3 linked regions of the Lepisosteus oculatus genome follow. The protein of the gene in region 2 interacts with the protein of the main gene of each other region in a pairwise test. Links are inferred from orthologs where the notes say so. Each region holds a gene or a part of one and is shown on either strand. Other genes may lie near its edges. The genes, in order: rwdd1, drg1 and zc3h15.

Evidence for each region.
Region 1: the proteins of drg1 (region 2) and rwdd1 interact in binary tests that used the Homo sapiens proteins (3 or more experiments, as listed by UniProt). The two-hybrid records come from large-scale screens. The link is inferred for Lepisosteus oculatus from reciprocal best matches to the Homo sapiens genes DRG1 and RWDD1.
Region 3: the proteins of drg1 (region 2) and zc3h15 interact in binary tests that used the Homo sapiens proteins (3 or more experiments, as listed by UniProt). The two-hybrid records come from large-scale screens. The link is inferred for Lepisosteus oculatus from reciprocal best matches to the Homo sapiens genes DRG1 and ZC3H15.

What each region holds. Positions count from the first base shown.
Region 1 is NC_090697.1:32,552,290-32,560,389, forward strand, and holds the start of rwdd1 (RWD domain-containing protein 1), read left to right. Parts: upstream 1-5,063; 5' UTR 5,064-5,149; coding exon 5,150-5,222; intron 5,223-5,777; coding exon 5,778-5,843; intron 5,844-7,042; coding exon 7,043-7,173; intron 7,174-8,100. UniProt on the Homo sapiens protein: Protects DRG2 from proteolytic degradation.
Region 2 is NC_090717.1:733,624-740,929, reverse strand, and holds the start of drg1 (developmentally-regulated GTP-binding protein 1), read left to right. Parts: upstream 1-4,222; 5' UTR 4,223-4,444; coding exon 4,445-4,483; intron 4,484-5,561; coding exon 5,562-5,685; intron 5,686-5,831; coding exon 5,832-6,007; intron 6,008-6,105; coding exon 6,106-6,175; intron 6,176-7,306. Other genes in the region: patz1 (POZ-, AT hook-, and zinc finger-containing protein 1), read right to left, coding at 39-1,246. UniProt on the Homo sapiens protein: Catalyzes the conversion of GTP to GDP through hydrolysis of the gamma-phosphate bond in GTP. Appears to have an intrinsic GTPase activity that is stimulated by ZC3H15/DFRP1 binding likely by increasing the affinity for the potassium ions.
Region 3 is NC_090707.1:17,986,982-17,994,810, forward strand, and holds the start of zc3h15 (zinc finger CCCH domain-containing protein 15), read right to left. Parts: upstream 3,100-7,829; 5' UTR 3,011-3,099; coding exon 2,936-3,010; intron 2,279-2,935; coding exon 2,177-2,278; intron 1,732-2,176; coding exon 1,623-1,731; intron 1-1,622. UniProt on the Homo sapiens protein: Protects DRG1 from proteolytic degradation. Stimulates DRG1 GTPase activity likely by increasing the affinity for the potassium ions.

The sequences.
Region 1 (8,100 bases), on a different chromosome or scaffold from region 2:
GAGAGTGTTTGCTCCAATGTTCAGCAGCGCTTATATTTCCTGGGAAGACTAAGAGTGTTTGGGGTTCGACAGGATGTAATGCTACTCATTTACCATGCTGTAATGGAGAGCATTATCAGAAATGGTATTACAGTGTGGTTTGGTAATCTATCAGTTCATTTAAAATCACAAATTACCACCTCTTCCAGACAGCTTTGAAGGTCATGGGAGTGAAACAGCATCCCTCCCCGCAGACAATCTTTGAAAAATCCAAAATCAAACAGGCTGGAAAAATGATATAAGATCCTTCCCACATCCTCAGCTGTGAATATCAACTTCTTCCTTCTGGCAAACGTTCTAGGGTTCCCAAATGTAAGTCAAACAGATACAAACGTTCCTTTGTTCCACTATCCATTAAAGCTGTCAACGCAAATGTCAAGGATGAACACAATTTTGACTCTGAATAAAGATATAATAATAATAATAATAATAATAAACTTTATTTTATATAGCGCCTTTAAAGGTGGCTTCTCAAAGCGCTTTACAGGATGACAATAACAATAAATAAGAAGACTACAACAATAAATAAGAAAAATTTCACAAGACAGGACACAATTATAATTACAGCAATACAACAATAACAATAGAGGAGACCGTGGAAGATGGTATTAAGAAGAGCAGAGGGGTGAAGAATGGAACCAGTTAAGTAAAGGCTTTTCTGAAAAGGAGGGTTTTGAGTCTGGATTTGAAGGAGTTTAGAGAAGGTGACTCTCTAATATCCTTGGGCAAGGAGTTCCAGAGCTTGGGGGCATAGCAGGAGAAGGCCCTGTCGCCTTCTCCTGAAGTAAAGAAGGGGTTAACTGATTCCTTTCTGCACAAGGACTGGACTTCTTGTGACACAAGACATTCCAGGCAAGTTAAGGCAGGAAAGTGGAATAACTGATAAGGATTCCAGATGCCAGCTAGAAACCCCCCCCCCCAAGGAAGGAAACCTAAAACTGACCATTAAGAGTGGTCAGAGCCTGGGGGCTGTCCGAACACCGCGACCTCCCCCCGTTACCATGGTAACGAGCTACCGCCAGAAGCTGCTGAAAAGTGCTATTTAAACTGGAAGTTTTGTACCGGTATTTCGAATAATACTTCGGTTTTATTGTTCCTTGCATGCAATAAAACCAATCTCTTTAAACTTCATCTCGGAATCCAGAACTTATTTGTCTGTTACAACAACTCAAAGCGCAATATGTTTTGTGATGTGTTATAAATGTTACACGTTGTTATGCTGTCTACTTTACATGTGCAATAGAGTGATGTGCAATGTTTTTCTTATTTTTTGTAATAGCATAATGTGCAATGTTTTTCTTTTCTTCTTCTTTTTTGTGTTTGCATTCTATTTAAATGTACAGGAGTGCTGTGTGTCCATAAACAATTTCCCTCAGGGGACAATAAAATCTTATCTTATATTGATACCTGTTTTTTATCATGGGGTAAAAGTAGGGTAAAAAGACATTCCTTACTCTGGGGACCAGGCATGGAAGAGCGGTCCTGTCAGGGGAAACGTAGTTCACAGATTAAGATGTCAATGTGAGCTCTGTTTCACCTCTCCCTATGGATCCAGTAAACCATCCCAATGTCCACAAACACACTCTGTGGCTGCAGATGGAATTTTCCATCTGGGTCCAAACAAATACTTTTTTGTATAATGTAAATATGGTAACTTTGTGATGCTTATGATGTGCATGCTATTTATGTCCCTCTAAGAACTGTCCAGATTGCAACAGGAATTGTCACACGATCCAAGGATAGCTGGTTGCACAGGTCCGAAAACTACTCCAGTAGATGGAAAAGCAGATGAAGAGAGGGAGGAAGAAGATAAATATATATTTGAATATACTACAGAGACTACTGTATGTTTTGGGAGAGTTTAATTGGTCATACTTTCTATTACTGCAGCTGTAGACAGATCATATAACACCTTGGTCAAAGGTCCGAAGTGTGAATTATGGAATCCCATGAAGAGTACAAGAGTACGGTATATACCCAAGTGCTCAAGGAGTATTAGAAGTTACTCTCTCCTTCACCTCTGCTGAATATAAACAAGTCCCGGTGTGAGGAATGAGCATGTGATAGGTTTGCCAAGTCTATAGCTGAGATGCATGATTGGTATTATTAATATACTGTATACTTAGGACAGCCTTCACCTAATAACTGCACAGCCATTGCATTGTTAAGACTAACCAATGTATCTACTGTATGCATGCCCCCCCTCATCCCTATCTTTTTTCACTCTACCTTAACAACCCTTTTGCCCTTCCCTCAGATATCTATTCCTCTTCTTTCTGATTTCACTCTACAGGCAATCATAAAAATAATAATAATAAACTTATATAGCACTTTTCTGGACACTCCACTCAAAATGCTTTACAGGTAATGGGGACTCCCCTTCACTATCACGCTCCACCACCTGGATGAAGCAACAGCGGCCAGAGTACGCTCACCCCACACCAGCACCGACAGAGTAATGAAGCCAGTTCATAGATGGGGACTATTAGGAGGCCATGATTGGTAAAGGCCAATGGGAAATTTGTCCAGGACACCCCTACTCTTTCCGAGAAACGCCCTGGGATTTTTAATGACCACAGAGAGTCAGGACCTTGGTTTTACATCTCATCCGAAGGACAGCGCTTTTTTACAGTATAGTGTCCCCTACTGGTCCCACTAACACCTCTTCCAGCATCAGTCTTCGCTTTTCCCAGGAGGTCTCCCATCCAGGTACTGGCAAAGCTCACACCTACTTAGCTTCAGTGTGTTACCAGTTGTGAGTTGTAGGGTGATATAGCTGCTGTCTTCTATGTGAGCAGCACTGGTTATAAGGCCCCAAGAGTTGACCAGACTGTCATCAGCACAACCACCTGCTCCCTGGAAATCTCTGATGAGCCCTGATGACCTGCAGTATTGTGGTATCAACACCTCCTCAACATTCCACACATAGAAGGAGCTCATCAGGGCCAACTCAATTAAGCACAGGCCAGGCTTATCCATTAATTAGGAACCGCATTCACTATTTATGCTCAGATATTGAGTCACAATAGCATGTGGAGTTGCTGGTTTTGCCCCAGGACTCTTCCCATTCTAATTTCTCCTATTATTCCATTTCTTGTTCAATAAACCATTAAAACTTTGCCACTGAACTGACTCTGGTAATTACCAATTTGCTGCACCCTATTTTCCATCTATGGGTGTGGCATAACAAGTTTGCCTACTAGAACTGCTCTTTTATCCCAAACACCATTTTCCCTCTGGTCTTCACTAAGAAGACTGTGCAAGTCTCTGCCATCTAGTGGTGCTAAATCTCCTCTCATTCTATTTTCTACTACTGTAACCTTCCGTTGGCTCCAATGTGTGCATGCAAAAGTTAAATTGAATATTATTGTGATTGATATGGCCTCGGCGAAACAATCACTTTTCTGTGCGATATATTGCTTTTGCAAACCCAGGTATATATTGTTGTTTCTTTCTGATAATATTAATAAACAACAAAGTATTCTCCAATAATGGAGCTTTTAAGCTAGTTGTGTGATGCAGTATCCTAACAGAAGACTTTAGTGTTCATATTTTAGCATACAAAATGGAATTGTTTTGGTAATTTTCGGGTTGGGGGTGGCATGGTGTTCATGATGGATTTAGAAAAGGTAGGTCTTACCAATTTATTATTTGGACAAACAACAATTGCAATGGATACACACATGAAATGCAATATGGTGTATTTAGATTTTCTGATTTTTTTTTATAAAGTTCCTAAAAAAAGCCTTATTTACAATTTGCATTTTACAGACATTCAGGGAAATTAGTGTTTGGATTGAGGATTGGTTATTAAATAGAAAACAGAGGGTAAAAATATGGGATGAATATTCAAACTGAGGAAATAGTGAATTACTGTACTATGGGGGTATGTACTTGGACCACTGCCCTTCTTAATTAATATTAATTTAAATCTTCTAGACGATGTAGAAAAGCAGTAAATTAGGCAAACAAAATAATAAATACTTCATAAACATAATATATACTTCATTGACACCTGAAGAAGGCTCCACGGCCGAAACGTTGTGTTCTCTTTCTTCTTTTTTTCAGCATGGAATAAACCTATTACTTGTTCCTTTGCAGCCTACGCATGCTGACGCAGCTACCCACCTGAACTACTACCGTATACTTCATAAATGTAGAGTTCAAAATCAAAGAATGTTATGTTTAAAATGTCTAATGCACCAATTAGGCCACACTTAGAAGAGTGTATACTATTTTAATCGCCATGTTATAGGAAATATATTGCTGCTCAGGAATCTGTCCACAGAAGACAAACCAAATATCTGCAGCCTTAAGGGTATATTCAACACTGACAGGCTGAAGAAACGGACCCTTTAGTCTTGAACAGTAAAGATTACAAGGGGGCCTGACATGGGCATGGGCATGAGCATGATTGTTCAGGTGGGTAGCTATGATGATATAATGATGAAGACCAGCAGACACACCGACCCCCCGGCACCCAGACTGGACATAAATGCACTATTTTCTCTCGAGCCCTGATACAGCCCTGCGAACACCAATATTTTGATGCTTTCTAGCGTACAGCAGAAAGATCATTTTAAATATTTGACAAAGTGATCAGGACAACAAATACAAAAAACCTACATTAATTTTCGGTTAGTACTCCAGTATATCTCGTATTGAAAACAGGAAGAAGTATTCCCGCAATTCTTAACGTATCGTTAATGTATACAAACTAATTAACATATAAATCGCACCACACAGAATACTATACTTTAACGTGCTACAGCTCACCACCTACAAACTCTTCATTCCAAACTATACACCCATGCCATGTGACTAGTGTGCGACCTTCCACGTAAGGCCCAGACTAATCAATTAAAGATACAACTAAATACGATAAAAATGGTATTTTAAATGAAAAATAAAATACAAAGAAAATATTCCGAGTGTTTCATTGTATACAGAAATAATTATTCATCCTATATTGTTTTTAAACGCGTTTTATCAACAGCGATGAAGACCTGACTCGTGATTGCCGAGAAGTCGATCTCTTTCAGGCCTCATTTGCGGGTTGTTCATTTGTATTTTTTGTAATATAGTAATCAATGGGAAATTGTGAGAAAAAATGACAGATTACGGAGAGGAGCAGCGGAACGAGTTGGAGGCATTGGAGTCCATATACCCGGATTCGTTTACAGGTATGTACTGTAATATTTTTAAACTAAGCATAGAGTTTGTAGAAATTTCAGAGAAAACGTGTAGTGTTTGCAGCTGCAGCAAGTTCTGTCAGGAATCTGTACTTGGGTTTCCTATTTTTTCTTATTTTCTAAGCTTTCGAAAAACGATATCTGCTACAAAATTAGATATGTCGTAATATATTAGGTGTTATTGTTCCAGTGCTGTTTGGTTTTTAATGAAGCGTTATGTTTGCAAGGCTAGCTGGGCAGTCGCATAAAGCAGCTTCAGTTTATGCAGCAAAATCAGTTATGCAGTGCGTGAATATACAATGCAATAGTTAAATGTAGACGCAAAACATTCGAGCATTTCCGATAATAACTCAGGCTTATACATTTCCACATTCTCTGTACAAACGTACGGGTTATCTTTTATATGTTAATAAAAGCTATCAAATCCATACATGCATAAGCCTTATTTGATACATATTCATATCTCGTATAATATACGTTGTTGTTGTTATTTAGTAATTTAATAGTATTGTAATGGTTAATTTGTATTGTTCTTTTTATGGCCAGTGCTTTCAGAAAACCCTTCAAGTTTTACTATTACTGTGACTTCTGACGCAGGCGAAAATGATGAAAGTAAGTACTGAATTTTTGTTGAAGCTCAAGTAGTTAGCTGAGTCAGCATGCGTAGACTGCAAAGGAACACTTAAAGGTTTATTCTGTGCTGAAAAGGGAGGAAAAAAACACAACGTTTCGGCTGTGAAGCCTTCTTCGGGTGTCACTTCGGGTCACCATTACTTGTTCCTGAATATTTGTTGTGTGTGTATCGATTGTATCATGCATATTCACAAAAACCAAAATATTTTATTATAAAATATTAAATATGCACATAAACACAAATCGATGTTTAAGTACAGTATATATGCATACTGTATATAAAGAAAGTTACAAACGAGAGGAGGACATTCAGCCCATCTAGTTCATTTGGTTGCTGAATTAAATTAACTTGCAGATCTCCAGAACCAGATCTAATTTAATATATTAGTCGTTTCCTTTTTATTTCCTATTCTCTTTGAAACACTTAGACTATCACAGCTCTTTTCCTTTCTGATATTTTATTTTTACCTGTACTTGCAGTACATTCAATTTTTTAACTAACATTTTTTTTGATTGTCTTAGATTTTCTTAAACCATTTGTGTCACTGCTTTCTTGGTTATATTTACTTACTCATGGGAGGAATCTATTTGGTGATTCAGGTAGATTATATTTACAGTGCTGCTGTTTTAATCAAATGCTGTTAGAAGCCTGATGGAAATCTTTATGGCACTGGATGTTCTGCCATCAGTCACTGACCAGTTATTTATGAAGTTTTCATAGATCTTGGTAGCTCAAAGCTAACAGAACTGGTTATACCGACTTTGCGGAGAAGCAAGAGAAAAAACTGTCAAAGGTAAACATGGCAGAACATGCAGGTGTCTATAACATCCACAGAATGTTATCTGTTCAGCCAGGGAGTTACTTCACACAGTGTCAGTCATTCAATTAGAAATAAAAACACTGCCCTCTGACCTTTAGAAGTGGGGTCATCATGGTTGTGTTTGTGGTGCACAGCTGTTTTCAGAAGGTATTATTTATTTATGAAAGGATAATGAATGTTTGCAAATATGGATATTTCACTTGTGATAAAGTGACTTTGTATAAATAACTAACTGTATCAGAATATATCATTATAACAGAAACTAACATTGCAAATTTAAACTAAAATTTGATTGTTATGCAAAATCCATGATCTTTTTTGATGTATGCTTACTGAAAATTCTTTCTTTTTTTCTAGCTGTTCAGACTACTTTGAAGTTTACGTATGTAGAGACGTATCCCGATGAACCTCCACTTTATGAAATTTTTTCACAGGATAACCTTGAAGACAGTGACATCACAGACATACTAACACTATTACAGCAACAGGTGAAGAGATGTCTCCCATTGTATTCCTGTGCATTTTCACTTGGCAACTGAAACACCCTTTTGTGCTTCACATCTGCCTGTAAGAACAGGTTGATGGTCTGTAAAGTGATTGCTGCAGTTCCTGACATATACATTATCTTACATGTTGCAAACTATCACACCAGTGTCCATTCTTGGGCCTGCATACGTTTTATTGTTTCATATTATTAGTAAAAAAAAACCAACAAAGTGGTGATTGATTTAAGGTATCTTTAGGTATCAAAACTGCTGCTATTACCCCAGTGCCAAAGAAGCCTAACATGGCTCTCGACAATCTTAACAACTTTTGCCCCATCTCCAACTTACCCTTTCTCTCTAAAATTCTAGAACGTGCTGTCACACTTCAGTTACATAACCACCTCATGACAAACAACCTTTTCGAACCCCTCCAATCTGGCTTCCGTCAACTTCACAGCACAGAAACCGCCCTAGTCAAAGTCACCAACGATCTCCTAATAGCTTCTGATTCTGGTTCTCTTTCCATACTCATCCTTCTTGATCTCAGTGCTGCCTTTGACACTGTTGACCATAACATCTTGCTTTCTCGTCTCGAGACTGTTTGGAGTCTCTGAAACTGCCCTCAAATGGTTTAAGTCTTACCTCACTGATCGCTGTCACTTTGTCTCTCTCAATGGGTACAGGTCTGAAATTGGTCTTGTCAAGTCTGGTGTCCCTCAGGGCTCAATACTGGGCCCCTTGCTCTTCAGCATTTACATGTTCCCACTTGGTCAGCTTTTAAGATCACATGGCCTCAGCTTTCATTTTTACGCTGACGATACTCAAATATACATCCATACCAAAACCGACACTGATGTGGCTGTCTCTATTCTATCTAATTGCATCTCTGACATAAAAATTTGGATGACTCAAAACTTCCTTCATCTTAAC
Region 2 (7,306 bases):
ACGCGCCCCCCCTGCGGGGCGGCCCCCCCCGGACTCACCTGGAGAAGCCCTTGCCGCAGCTCTGGCAGACGTAGGGCTTGCCGACGGAGCCGTCGTGCGAGCGCACGTGGTAGGACATGCGGTCCTTGCGCTTGAAGCGCAGGCCGCACACGGGGCAGGCGTAGGGCTTCTCCCCGGAGTGGGACAGCTTGTGCCGGTTCAGGTGGTACACGTCCCGGAACACCTTCCCGCAGACGTCGCAGCCCACGTGGCGCCGGGTCCGCTCCCGCTTGCGGGCCGAGTCCGCCGGGCCGGCGCCGTGCAGCCCCAGCCCGTTCTCCAGCAGGCCGGCCGGGGGCGGGGCCGCCAGGCCGGGGGCGCCCCCTCCCGCCGCCCCCCCCGCCGGGGCGCCCCCGTGCTGCGCCTCGTGCTGCCGGAGCCGCGCGGCGTCCGTGAAGATCTTCCCGCACAGCCCGCAGGGGAAGATGCCCAGGTCCTTGGGCACGCCGGCGCCGCCGAAGAGCAGGGGGTCCATCGCCGGCACCTTCTTGGGGCGCCCCCGGCCCCGCTTGCCCCCCACCCCGGGCTGGGCGCCGCCCCCGCCCTGGAAGGGGTTCCCGGCCAGCTCGGGGCCGCCCACGGGCAGCCGGTCCACCGTCTGCAGGGAGGGCATGACCTGCTGGCCGCCCGCTCGGCCGCCCCCGTCCACCTCGTGCGCCGGCCCGCCGCCCCCGAACACCGAGCCGTTGGCCACCAGCCCCGCGCCGTTGGACATGTCCAGGGGGTAGCCCAGCTCGGGCCCGCCGGTCCGGAAGAGCGCCAGGTCGCCGCGGGCCGGCGGCACCAGGATCTGCACGTTGGACTGCTTGATGACCTCCTGGCAGATCTCGATCACCGAGCGCATGAGCAGGAACTTGGCGGCCGTCATGAGCTCGGGGAAGCACTCCAGCCGCACCACGATCTTGGACGTGTAGGCGAAGTCCAGGATGTCTTTGAAAACTTTGGGGCTGATCGTGTGCATCTCCAACTCCTTCGTCTCCCCGTCCCCTTCCGCCTGACAGCTGAACACCGACTCGAAGTACTCGCTGCACGCCGCCAGCACCGCTTTGTGCGCGGGGAAGCTCTCCTCGCCGACCCGCAGCAGAACGTCGCAGAAGCGGCCTCCGGTGCGGCGCTGCACGTTGAGGTTGTGGAGCATCTCGGCGCTGTGCTTGCTCACCTGATACGTGTACGACGAGCTCCACGGCTGCTCCGCTATCCTGTCCATGTTGCCTTCATTCAAGAGCGACGTATCTCGGCGCTTCGAGGGGGGAAACGCAGGAGCAGAAGTGGGAAATTTAAAAGAAAGAGAGGAGGAAAACAAACCGACCCAACTCGCGGAGAAATCCGGCGAATTTCTCTTTTTAAAAACACACGGCACACGCACCCTCCGACACCTTAGCCCTGCTCGCGTCTCTTTTGCATCTAAAAAAAAAATGTTTGCAGGGAGGAAAAAATGGCAGCCCCCCAGCTTCCTGTGAACTTTGACCTTTGTTTCGGGGGGGGCGGACCAGCCGGGAGGGGGGTAGGGGCACTCGGAAAGCGCTGTGTTTTCCGCGCACCAGCCGGGGGGGTTGAGAGAGGGGGGCGAGGCGGCGCGGGTCGGACTCTCCGGTAGCCAGCGCCTGGACACGGCCGCCGGCTCCGGGCTCGTCTCTCCCCTCCATCCCGGCCTCCGTCTCCTCCCCCCTCCCCCGCGCGATTCCCAGGCCTGTTTTTCCAGCGCGGATGCCCCCTCCCACAGAGGCAGCGCGACACACAGCTCGGAGCGCCGCCGGGATTGCGAGCTCGCAGGGATTCGGCTCCTCCGAGTGACCCGCTAGTAATAACAATAATAACAGTAATAATGATGATAATAGAGACGGGGGTGTGAAATAGTTGGCGAATAAAAGCCGTTTCTACGGTTAACGCTCTCAGCCAAATGCACCGCCGATGCAGAGAATAGAAACTGGATTTTAGGGACCAGAGGGGCTGTTGTTTTTAAAGACCCCGCTCCAGCCCGACCGCGGGGCTGCGCGCGTTTCGGACTCCACTCATCCAGATATCATAAATCCGACCCCCCTCCCGCTTTCCCCCCGTGTCAGGGGGAGTTGGGGGGTAGCAGGTCCCACAGCCGCCCACGGGGCAGCACCGACGCAGGCGGACGCGGGATCCGCAGGTGTGGGCGCTGGGGGGGGGAGGAGCGGTGCATTGTGGGGTGTGGGTGGGTGGGTGTGTGAGTGTGGGGGGGGTAACTCGTAAGTGTACATTCTAGCTTTTTACCGTTTAGCTGTCAGCCGGGGTTCTCGAGTTACAGCAGGGCAGGGAAGCCTCTGTGCTCATTAACTCTTTCGCACTTGTGTGTGTGTGTGTGTGAGCCCTGCAGACGCCACAACAGCCCCCTGCCCCAGGGGGTGTACGAGCACCCCCTGCCCCTGGGGTAAACAACAGCCCCCTACCCCTCTAGGGTGTACAAGAGCCCCCTGCCCCCTGGGGGTGTACTTGAGCCCCTCGCCCCCTGGGGCAAAAGCGATCCCCCTGCCCCCTGGGGGTGTACATGAGCCCCCTGCTCTCTGGGGCAAAAGAGAGCCCCCAGACCCCAGGAATTTACCTGCACTGGTGTGCTTGTCTACCTCTTGGGACGGGTGCCTTATATACCCCTGGGGGCAAGAAAACATTCACTAACGTTGCGGACCAGAGGAAACAACACAGCAGCGGAATAAGAGCAGAAAGTGTCTCTAAATTACAGGTAAATCCAAACATTCCCACGGCACCTTCCAAACATCACACGTGTGAAAGGTCAGTGAACAGAAAAGAGAATATATTGGGGCGGAGCAGTGGCTCTGTGGCTCAGGATCTGCGCCTGTGGCTGGGAGGTTGCCGGTTCAAATCCCGCAGCCAGCAGAGGAATCCTACTCCGTTGGGCCCCTGAGCAAGGCCCTTCACCCCAGCTGCTCCAGGGGCGCCGTATAAACGGCTGAACCTGCACTCTGACCCCCAGCTTCTCTCCCTGCCTGTCTGTCTCATGGAGAGCGAGCTGGGGTCTGTGAAAAGACAAATTCCTAATGCAAGAAATTATAAAGGGTTAGTAAAGTGATATTATTATTATTATAATAGACAGTCCATCCGAGCGAGAAGTTCAAGGAGAGACGGAAAGTGGCGAGCGAGTCAGTCTGATGGGAGAGTTCAACACACAGCAGATGTGTGGGGCAGCAGCTGGCAGGAGACTGCTCTGGCACCACTGCTGAAACGCTCCTATTGCCTTCTGCTCGCCTTGCACGTGGAATCAGCTGTTAATCTCCCAATTATTCCCCTCCTCCCTCGTTTCGGCGCCGAGCTGGGACCGCCACTCCAGGGACACGCTCCGCAGGCTGCAGAGGTGCTGATGGGGTCCGCAGAGCACCCCAGAATCCCCCCCTCCCTCTGCTGGCTCCCCGGGAGGGATTCGTCTTCCCAAAGTCTGAGCCACCGGCCAGTGGGAAGATCCCGGCGTGCTCCGCAAGCCGGCTTGGCTTCCCCATCGGATCCGAGTCGGATCGCACACAGCTGCAGGAGCAGTGAGGACTTGGGGTTTGGCCGGTAGGGAGATGTTGTGGACATGTGGACACACATGCACACAGATACACACAAGCACACACACGCACATACAGGCACACAGACACACACACGAGCACACACACGCACATACATGCACACAGACACACACACATGCACATACGTGCATGAACACACACGCACACAGTCTGACACATGCACACAGACACACACACAATCACACACATGCACACACACATACTGTACGCACGCAGGCACACACAATCACATGCACACACGTGCATGCAGACATACACACAGATACACACACAATTACACTCATGCACATAAATGCACACACAATCACACTCACTCATACACACACATACATGATCAGTTCTTGCACCTCCGAAGGTCCGTAACTGGTGACTTTCAGCAGGGAACTAGTTATGAAGTCAATTCAGCATGAAGTAAAAGCCTAACCTTTGTAGGTCTCAGTAACAGGGCCTTCACAAGCCTGTGAGCTGGGTGACATTCTCAGACCAGTTAGCCCCTACGTGAGAGCACACGTAGGGGGCTGGAGTTGTGCACTGTGAGGCACTGTCGCTCTTAGAGTCCGCAGACATTTCCCCCACGGAGCTGGGGGGGGTGCTGCAGTACCTCCTCCGCACCGCCAGGGGCGCCCTGTTCCCCCAGCGCCGCTGCTGCTCGCTGCGTGGCCGTGGTTTCTCGCGAGAGGCGCTCGCCGTGCCGGAGCCGGGCGTCTGTGTGTGTGAGAGAGAGGAGAGAGGAGCGTGGGGGGCTTGACAGAGGACCGAGCGGCTACCGAGTCTTCACCCTTCGTTATACGCGAGAACTGCGGCAGCGGCGCACCGGCGGGGAGGAAGAAGTTGGTGTCGGACCCACAGCCGCCATGAGTTTGCTGGCGAAGATCGCCGAGATCGAGGCCGAGGTGCGTGTGGACGCTGCAGGGCTCGGAGCAGTGCTGGCGGCCGTCTGATTTGAATGATTCCTGATGTCCTCCGGGTGGGGTCTGTCCCGGCGGGCCGGGGCGTAACGGCTTTCGAACACGGGTCCTGGTCCAAGCCCGGTTCGGAACCGGAACCGCCGAGCGAGCGGGACAGAGGGGTTCTCGCGGCGTCCGAACTCTGTTCTCGGACCCGTGCGTCTGCATCGGGGGGCCTGGACCCCCGGCGGCCTCGCGGCTGGAGAGCTCGGGTCTGGACGGCGGAACCGGAGCCCGAGTGACACACGCAGGCAGGGCAGGGCGACCACACAGGGCGCCGGGCCGGAGGGTGCTCAGCGCTACTGTCTCCTCTCACTGCGACTTGTATTGTTGCTGGTGTCGTTCTGTAAAACGCTTTGAGAAGTCACCTTTAAAGGCGCTGTATAGAATAGTTTATTATTATTACCTTTTGGGTCTGAGAATCTCATCCAGCTGCTTATTCCAGAGCAGCCTGCAGCATGGAGTGTGGAGCAGGCAGCCCAGCAGGACCCTGTGATCGGTGTTGAAACGGGACTGAGAATGTGTGTTCTCCCCTCTTCCCTCTCCTCTCTCCTCCTCTCCCCTTTCCCCCTCCTCTCCCCTTTCCCCCTCTCCTTTCTCCCTCTCTCCCTCTCTCCTCCTCTCTCTCCTCTCCCCTCTCCTCCTCTCCCCTCCTCTCTCCTCTCCTCCTCTCCCCCTCTCCTCTCTCCCCTCCTCTCTCCTCTCCTCCCCTCTCCTCCTCTCTCCCCTCCTCTCCCCTCTCCCCCTCTCTCCTCTCCTCCCCTCTCCTCCTCTCCCCTCCTCTCTCCTCTCCTCCCCTCTCCTCCTCTCTCCCCTCCTCTCCCCTCTCCCCCTCTCTCCCCTCCTCTCCCCCTCTCTCCTCTCCTCCCCTCTCCTCCTCTCTCCCCCTCTCTCCTCTCTCCCCCTCTCTCCCCTCCTCTCCCCTCTCCCCCTCTCTCCCCTCCTCTCCCCTCTCCCCCTCTCTCCTCTCCCCTCCTCTCTCCCCTCCTCTCCCCTCTCCTCCTCTCCTCTCTCCCCTCTCCAGATGGCTCGGACTCAGAAGAACAAGGCGACGGCTCACCACCTGGGCCTCCTCAAGGCGCGCCTGGCCAAGCTGCGGCGCGAGCTCATCACGCCCAAGGGTGGCAGCGGCGGGGGGACGGGAGAAGGTGAGGGCGCTGGGGGTCAGTCCTGGTTGATTCCACGCTGGGTCACAGGGAGGAGCTGGCCGCCCGGACCTGCGCCAGGCGTGGTGCTGGTGGTGCGCCCGGTCCCGCCGCCGCCCCGGCTCACCCGCTCCCGGTGTCGTTGGCAGGGTTCGACGTGGCGAAGACGGGCGACGCGCGGATCGGCTTCGTGGGCTTCCCCTCGGTGGGCAAGTCCACGCTGCTCAGCAACCTGGCGGGCGTGTACTCTGAGGTGGCCGCCTACGAGTTCACCACCCTCACCACGGTGCCGGGGGTCGTCCGCTACAAGGGCGCCAAGATCCAGGTGGGGCGCGGGCGCCGGCCGCCGGGAGGGAGGGGCGGGACGGGGGACGGGGGACGGGGGCGCCCCGATTGTGACCTCCGTGTGCCTCTGTGCTGCAGCTGCTGGACCTGCCGGGCATCATCGAGGGCGCCAAGGATGGCAAGGGCAGAGGCCGGCAGGTGATCGCAGGTGAGAGGAGACGCCCGCAGCAGGACCAGCTGAGGTCCGCGGTCAGGACCTGTGACCCGGGTCCTCAGCGGCGCTGCTGGAGTGAAAACGACGCCTTACTGTCACTTCATGCACGGAGTGCATCATCAGCCATATCACCTTGCAGCTCCCAGCTGGCAGCCCCACTGAAGCCCAGCAGGGTGAGCCTGGTCAGTACCTGGAGGGGAGACTCCTGGGAAAGCTGAGGCTGCTGCTGGAAGAGGTGTTAGTGGGGTCAGCAGGGGGCGCTCACCCTGCGGTCTGTGTGGGTCCTGATGCCCCAGTATGGTGACGGGGACACTGTACTGTAAGAAAGGTGCCAACCTTTGGATGAGACTTAAAAGCGAGGTCCTGACTCTCTGTGGTCATTAAAAATCCCAGGGTGGTTCTTGAAAAGAGTAGGGGTGTAACCCTGGTGTCCTGGCCAAATTTCCCCCTGGCCTTTACAGTCATGTCCTCCTAATAACCCCCATCTCTGAACTGGCTTCATCAGTCTGCTCTCGTCCCCACTGAGAGCTGGTGTGTGGGGAGTGTACTGGCGCATCACCCAGTTGGGCCTGCACACTGGTGGTGGTAGTGGGATTTCTCAATACCTGTAAAGAGCTTTGAATGGAGTGTCCAGAAAGGTGCTACATAAGTGTAAGGAATTATAATTATTATATTATTACTTCTGTGATGTTGGAGGTGTTGTGTCTCAGTGGACAAGCGGACACAATGACTCGCCTGAGTGCGATCCAGTCTCAGGACACAATCAGTGTGGTGCCACAGCTGGCTGGCCCGGAAAAACAATGGCTGCTCTTTGAGTGTGCTCTATCATTTCAGTCCACAGCGTCAGAATGTGGAGCTCAAAGCAGCTTGTGGCTGACAAAGACTCAGAGGGCTGCATTTGGGGTTACTGCCGAGGAGCTGAAGGACCTCTGTAGCTCCACACACAGTTAGGACCAAGAGAACGATAAAACACTTCAGCTCAGTCGGCGTTTTGGTCTTTGTTGAATAACTCTTGAGAGATGAGAACCGTTTCAGAAGGAAATAGGATCAAGCGTACAGACGAACAGACTTGGGAGTCTGGTCAGGCTTGAGCAGAGTTGTTGAGTTGGTTAGCTGAGTGTTGCC
Region 3 (7,829 bases), on a different chromosome or scaffold from region 2:
ACACTTTAAAGGAAAAAAATATTGTGCGGTAGTTAGAAACTGTCTATTACTGTTTAGAAGGCAAATAAACTGCATATCTTCGGAAAAGTGAATATTATCTTCATAAATAGTTCACTATATAAACAGTACAGTTTTTAAGAATTTTTCATGCCGATAATATAATAACCCTGAAAACAAACTGCCTCTTTAACAGACTTGAATCACCCTAACACAAGTCATAATCTTTGCATTGATTCTATTTTGATAGTGGCAATTATAAAAAGTACATAACGCAAATGCTGTTTTTATGGTTTTTAGACAGAAACATGATAAGGGCCATGTTTTATTTTGCTTCATCCTGTCAATCCAAATATCTGAGTGTTCTCATCCACAATGAATGAATAATTCAAGACATTTAAAAGAAAACTACACAGGATAACAATCTGCTAATGATCACCACCATTCAGATATTTATGATTTAAAAAAAAACTTAGTTGGAATTAAGAGGGCAGTTAAAAGCTAATTTAAAGGTATTCTCAAATTAAAATCCACCAGACAGTAACATAATTACAGGGTTGGCTACTTGTTAAGAAACTTGTTAATTGCAAGATGAAATTATTTTAAATTCAATTACAAGTTCCAGTCTACTCATTTTTCAAAACAGGGAGTGTTTGCTAAGCATGAGCACCTTTTAGTAGTAGTAAGCAGGCATATTTAAAATGTTTTAAAATTAATTTACACATATAAACAAGTTCAAACAAGTTGTGAAATGTAATATTTTGAAAGGGCATCCTTACATTAAACTGGATAATCTGTCAGTACTGCAAAGCTAATTAGCATTTATGTAGTGCGAATTTGCTCATCAATCACAAATGCCACAACAACTTACTGATGATCAGCTGTCCTTGAGTTTTCCCACTTTTGATTACATATTAGTGAATTGATGTATCAAATTAAAATCCTGTTTCTCCCATAGATGGCTTGTATTAAACCTCTTTACAGTGTGAGAATGTATTGGTTTGGAAAGCAATATGGCAGATCACTTGCTTATAAAGTAGTGTCATCTAAATTAATATAACTGGTCTCAATCCAGCTTTTATTTCATGATTTTTTGTTGCTCTGAGAAAATAAAGTCTATGCATTTATTATTGTTCATAAATTATTTTTTATTGTTGACAAAAGAAACAGGTCATTTATTCATAAATACAAAATTAAAGACATGAGTCCATGTATATTTTACAGTACATTAAAATGAAGGATTTAACTTAGCAAAAGGAAATACATGATCCTTAAAAATATATTCCATTTAATGTATCTTTTTACTGAACTGACAAAATATTAACAAATATGATAATGGTATTCCCAGGTAAAATACAATTTCAAATCACATACCTTGAGTTTATGGTTTATTTTACGACAGCAAAATGGAATGGACTAGTACATTTGGTAGCACCAGTTAATATTTTAGTTCTGGGAGTGAGACAACTAGTTATATCAGTCTCTGAATTTCACCTACTTTCAACACTCAGCAAAAGGGCAGTGATGTAGTCAGAACATGACAGTGATACAATCCAGTGACATGACTTCAACTTAACCGAACCATTTTTCACATATATAAAACAAAACAACAATACATAACTTACCTTTACTGATTTTCTGAGCTGCCACTACTGGCTTGAAGAGCTCATTTAATTCAGAAAGTTCCTTCTTCTTATCTGCCTTCTTGTTCTTCTCTCCTTCAGCTGCAGCCACCTGAATTAAAGAAAAAGCAACACCAAAATTGTTTTTGATGAGGCTAAAGAATACTTTCTAAGCCCTGGCTGAAGAGCAATCCTGTATGCTCAAGAAGGCTTACTTTTACATTTTGAGTTTTGACAATTACAATAACAATTGAGTGCTTACATGTATTAGGAATTTAAGTGGTGAGTTTCACTATTTTGATCATTAACATAGGGTTGTAAGCCTTAAGTATACCAGAGAGCTATTATTGCCTATTCAGTCTGTAAAATGACATTTATTTCAACAACAATGATCATTTATTCACAAACAATAACATAATAACATAAAATGGAACTACAGAAACAACAAAGCATAAAATGTGACAAAATACCTTTCTTTTAAACAACAAATGTTTCAGAAGGCAAACATCTCAAGAACTTAATCCTATACAGATACGACTTTCAGCTGATGGTTTTACCTGTCGCGCGTTCTGCTGGCCATACTTCACTTGTTGCGTGACAGCCTTGATGAATTTTTGCTGTTTGGCTCCCTTCTTATTCTTCAATCCAAAAGTCTTGTCCTGAATACAGATAAATAGAACATAAACAATGAGAATTCATTCCTACGCACCAGTTATTTTAATAACAATACCCCCCGCCCAAATACTTATCATTTATGCTTTGTGTGTGTGTAATTTGCGTCAAGTATGCTTTGCTACAAAAACACATCCCGTTGATTAATGACAGAGACGCGACTGTCGGGGGGTCCAAAATCTGAAGAAGACAGTATCAGATAGCGCTCGTTCTTTGAGCCAGAAAAGGAAACCGCAAAACTGAATTTATTACGAGATTTGGTCGGTTAAAGCCCCGCTCGGTTTTATAAGGCATAACTATGGTTTTCTCAGACTCAAGACTAAAATTCCGTAAATTCGACCACACGAATGCGATCCACAACACTACCCAACTGTCATTTTTCTTACAGTTTCACAGTTTACCTAAAACTGTGCGAATCGACTTCTACAGATTAAAATCGAAAAGCCCTATTTTAAAGAATTACAAGGGCTGTCAATTTCCCGATTTTAGCACATCACTATCTACACGAAAATGATCACCGCATCCGTAAAGCCCTAAACTACAGCCGGCCAGGCTAGGCCCGAAATGCAGCATGGTTCAAAATAGAGGAGTTGCAATTTACCGGTTGTACTTTTTTAAATAAAATAAAACACCATTTCTCTAACCTCGATAATTTTCTCCTTCTTCTTTTGGTCGGTTTTCTTATTAGCCGCTGGTTGCGCTGGTTTCTTTGGAGGCATATCGAAAATTAAGGTGCTGAAAAAAGAGCTCCTAGTCTCCGGTTAGGTGGATGAAGCGCTGGCTCAGTCGGCGTTCAGGCCCCGATGACTCTCTGGGAAATCAGAGTCTCGAAAAGCATTATGGGTTAGAGGCAGAACTCCCATAGTTCTAAATTCATTGGCAAAAAAAAAAAATCTCATGGTTGTATAAGTACTCCAAAGTTTTTGCTTCTTAAAAAAAATATTGTGTTATATGAGAATAAGAACTTTAACTTGAATATTAGTAAAGATATTCGATTTGAGTAACCTTTCTAAGACGTAAAATAATACAAAACTGAAGCTACAGTATGTTAAATAATGAAAAAAGCGATTGGTATTGGTAAGGATATGGGCAGACTAATGTGAAAATTAGCGTGGAAAAACTGAGTAGGTTTATGGAATATTTGTGATCATAGATACCAGTACTGTACTGTATGCCAGTACTCTTTTATTTTAAGAGGCTATTAAACAGCGTGTATACACTGCTACTGTCTTTTGTTTATTTAACGTTGCTTTTCAAAAATGAAAAAACGCTGTGATACTGAATCATGGATCACTCTTTTCAATCATTAATTTTAGAGACTAATTTTTTGGTTGGGTAAATCTCCAACCACAAGTTTGGTGCTTTTTTCCTAAGACATATTAATCATATTATGGCATACTATGGTATGGCAACTGCAGTACTGCAGTACACTGACCGCAAAGCCCTACAGCGGGTGGTGAAAACTACCCAGTCCATCACTGGGGTTGCCCTCACATCTATACAGGACATTTATGACAGACGGTGATTGAGGAAAGGTCTAAGCATCATCAAAGACCCCACACACACCAGCTACAGACTGTTGTGACCTCTACTATCTGGAAAACGGTACTAGAGCATTCGGGCCCGGACTACCAGACTCAGAGACAGTTTTTACCCTCGCACTATCAAACTATTAAACTCCCAGCCTCTCTCACTCTCACCTCACCTCTCACCTATGATCTGAACCTCACAGTGCCTTCTTTCTTACTAAAAACTCAAACACACATTGAAATCTACCTTTACCTTACATGTCAAAAAGCTCACTCTCCATAACTTCTATCCCTTTATTTAATTCTGTTGATGCATGTTTTTGCACATCTGATGTTGTTTTTTCACATGACCTGTTACCCTTTTGTTGTTTTGCAGATTGCCTGTTGTTGTTTTGCACACTGCCTGTTGTTGTTTTTGGACGTTGCCTGTTGTTGTTTTTGCACACTGCCTGTTGTCTCTGTCTTTCTTTTGTTATACAATTGTATTGTTTTTTTCTGTACTACTTATCGTCCGAGAGCTAGCTAAATAGCATTGCGTCATACCGTATATATTATACTGTATATGAGTAGAATGACAATAAACTTTAACTTAAACTTGATCATATGTACTGTACTTTGCAAATGTTCATACTATATATTCACTTCTGTCTCCCCTGGGGGCAGTAAATATCATAAAACAAAAGCTAATGATACTGAAACAGTTTTGCCTCAGAAGTCATGTAATGGGAAATTATAATTGATGTAATTAATAATTAATGTAATTGGGATATACAGAATAAAACAATACATTACTTAAACTTGCAGAAAAACACATATCATTTAACTTTAGATTGAAAACAATGGATGTCATTGCATGAAAGTGACTGCTTAGGTTATCACCTGCAAAGACAAAGTTTTTAATAAGACTAGCTGAAAGAAATTTTTGTCAACCACCAACACTGAAAATAAACCCTATCTGGAATTCAACATTTCACGTAAAACTTGAAAAAAACATTTGTTCCATAATTATCTGTGGTTTATCAGATCACCATACATCTTGTCATTTTATACGGCCGCAGACGTTAAGAAAGGCTGGGCTTAATCTGTTTATGGATGGGAGACTTCAACAGAAAATCAAGTTGGTCCTGCAGGTATTGTTGGTGGGAAGGTACAGTAGGTGGTGCTCTTGCCCCTGGAACAGAATTAAAAAAAATCATTTTCAGTATAGTGACTGTAAAGACTGTGGTGTGTAGGAGCACTGCTCTGTCCAGATGTATAGTTAAACTGAGATTTAAACTATGTGCTCATTAAAGATCCCATGGTATTTTTTTATAGTAGGGATATTAACCGCAGCTTCTTGGCAAAAATTCAGTCATAGCCTATTTACACTGGCCTTCCTAAACTTTCAGTTTAATTGAATTTGTGAATACATTTCTCACTTTTAGAAATTATTTGCTGTGTGGGCTGTTGGTGCTAAATGGGTACCCCATGTTAACCAGGCGGGCGATGTACTTTAGTGGTAGATGAAGTGGGTCTCTTCCAATATGTAAAAAAGCTTTGTAATAAAATATATTCTATAAATCCCCCCAAAATTAGAATTTCCGGAGGCAATCATATTGAAGCATAATAATAGTATCAAAATGTATCCAAATTTTCTATCTTTGAAGCACAATATTTCATAAATATTTTAAAAATCAACCCTCTGCAGTTTCTGTAAAGCCACCTTCATTCAAGGTTTTGTCATAGTCATGATATTTGAGACTGATATTAGTCCTTCCAGAACTAATGGCACAATCATATCTCCTTTGTAGATCACCTTGCTTTTAATTAAAGTTGCACACTACGCAATGGTAAATGCTATGGTAATGAATACAAAGTTACTGATCAAAGTAGCAAACTAGATCATTCATTACTACAAGATCGTGCCTCATTAATATTTTTTTGAATTGGAGATTTTCTTATCCTTATACATATATACAGTAGATCAATATTTTAAATATGCAAAATGTCATGGATTCCGGTTGAGATATTTAAATAGATACCTTGCATAAATGAATAGGTAAAGGTTAATACCACACTGAAAACTAGAATGAAAAACACAAAGTTTTGGATGTAGAGCCTTCTTTAGGTGTGTGAGGCTCCCTACTCAAACATCATGGATCTTAAATGCCTGTTATATTACTGTATGTACGCATTTCTTTGAATGAGTTATTATCAAATAACTCTGTATTTAACAGCAGATTTAAATTGCCAATTAATTTTAATGGATGATAAATTTTCACATATTGCATGGTTGTTTGCGAACATGAATCAGATTTGATTAGCATTTTCTACATTACTTGTTAATTATTGCTCAGTAGATAATATAAAAGCACTGATCAGGAATTAAAGCTAGCATGTCTACCATTGACAAAAGTCAATTTTTATTATGCAGAGGACAATAGTGCATCATCAAGTTTTAATTTAGAATGTTGAGAAATACATACAGTAGTAATTTGATTTATGAATACTACAACACAACTATCATTACATACAGCACATTTTTAATTTAAATTACTTACATTCATGTAGTGCACCCAATTACTATATTGTCTCAGTCTAATCATATCAGATATTCTACAGAAATACTCTGTGAATCTGTTTTCTGTTTTCGGGTAATTTTTAATATATGTAAATGTTTAACCCACTGTCCACTATGATACTTTTGTGTTCTAATTACTTTGCTTTCTCTCTTATGCTTAAGATATGAAATACATTTTTAAGACATTTTGTCTCTGTTGCCTGCTCATAAATTGTATCTTATTTAATTTAACTCCTACACCATGATGTAATCTCAAGTATCCAGCTTTTGAAAAGCACTGTGTGCTTCAGTTTGTAACAAAATACAAAAACTGCATATCTAAAGTTTGCCTCATGGTGGCATTACAATCATTCTAAAACACATTACATTCTGCATGATCTAGATTGCTTCAAAGTGGAATTTACAGTTTAAGTGTATTATATGAAATATGAAACTGTAACAGTGTGAAACAATTGCTATTTTAAAGGACACAGGAGTGGTTCAGGATGGGATTAAAAACAATTCCTTATGATTACTAGAGGGAAGAGGAAAATTTTATGAAAAGCTTCTAAATTCTAAGTTCTATACTTAGAACGTTCTCTTGTAAATGTAAAATTATAGCTAAATTGAATTATTAGGCTGTACTAAATACTATATTGCCATACAGCAGTAATACCCCTGAGAGAGGATCTTCTCAATGCACTTGTATAAATAGTAACCTGCATTTCTGGGGATAACTTTGTATAGCAGGTCATTTTTGCACAGCACATAGTTATTGCGTCAGTTGTAAGCTCTGTTTAAACTGGTGACTAGTTTTATTTCTGTTCCAATGAGGCTAGAGAAAGCCAGTATGGCGTAAGATATACCAGTCCTGCTTTGCCACTGTGTCTTGGTTGTATGATATTGTGCCCTGTCTCTGGGATAAAAACACTCATTTGCCGTTATACTGTATGTGGATCTCCTCAGTTTCACTGAAACCCACACTAATATATTTCTGGTGGAAGAGTGGGATTGGAACCCATGCTCCGGAAGAGACTGGAGGACAAGAGAAGAATCTTCTTCAGCCATCCCTACCTGTTTCTCAGGTTCCTGGAGCATAACGATATAACACATCAACTCCTGTTTACCTGAGCCAGACACCACTCGAGGACCACCAGCAACTCATCCCCACCAACTTCCCCAAAATGGACTTGTTCTGGTCATCCTATCAAGCCTCTAACCACTTTAAAAGATTTTGTTTGTGTGTACACTATCTCAACTAGTCTGTTCTGAGCTATAGTGTAATCATTACTATATTGCATTATACTACAATTAGCCCCTGCTAGTCATGTATTGTGTCTTATCTGCCAGAGAAAGGGATGTTTCTTACCCTGTAAGAGACACATATAAACAGTATAGCAGACGGGTAGTTATTTAGTAAAGTTAGTTGTAAATTCTGTTTAATTTGGTTACACTATTTTTACTTTATAT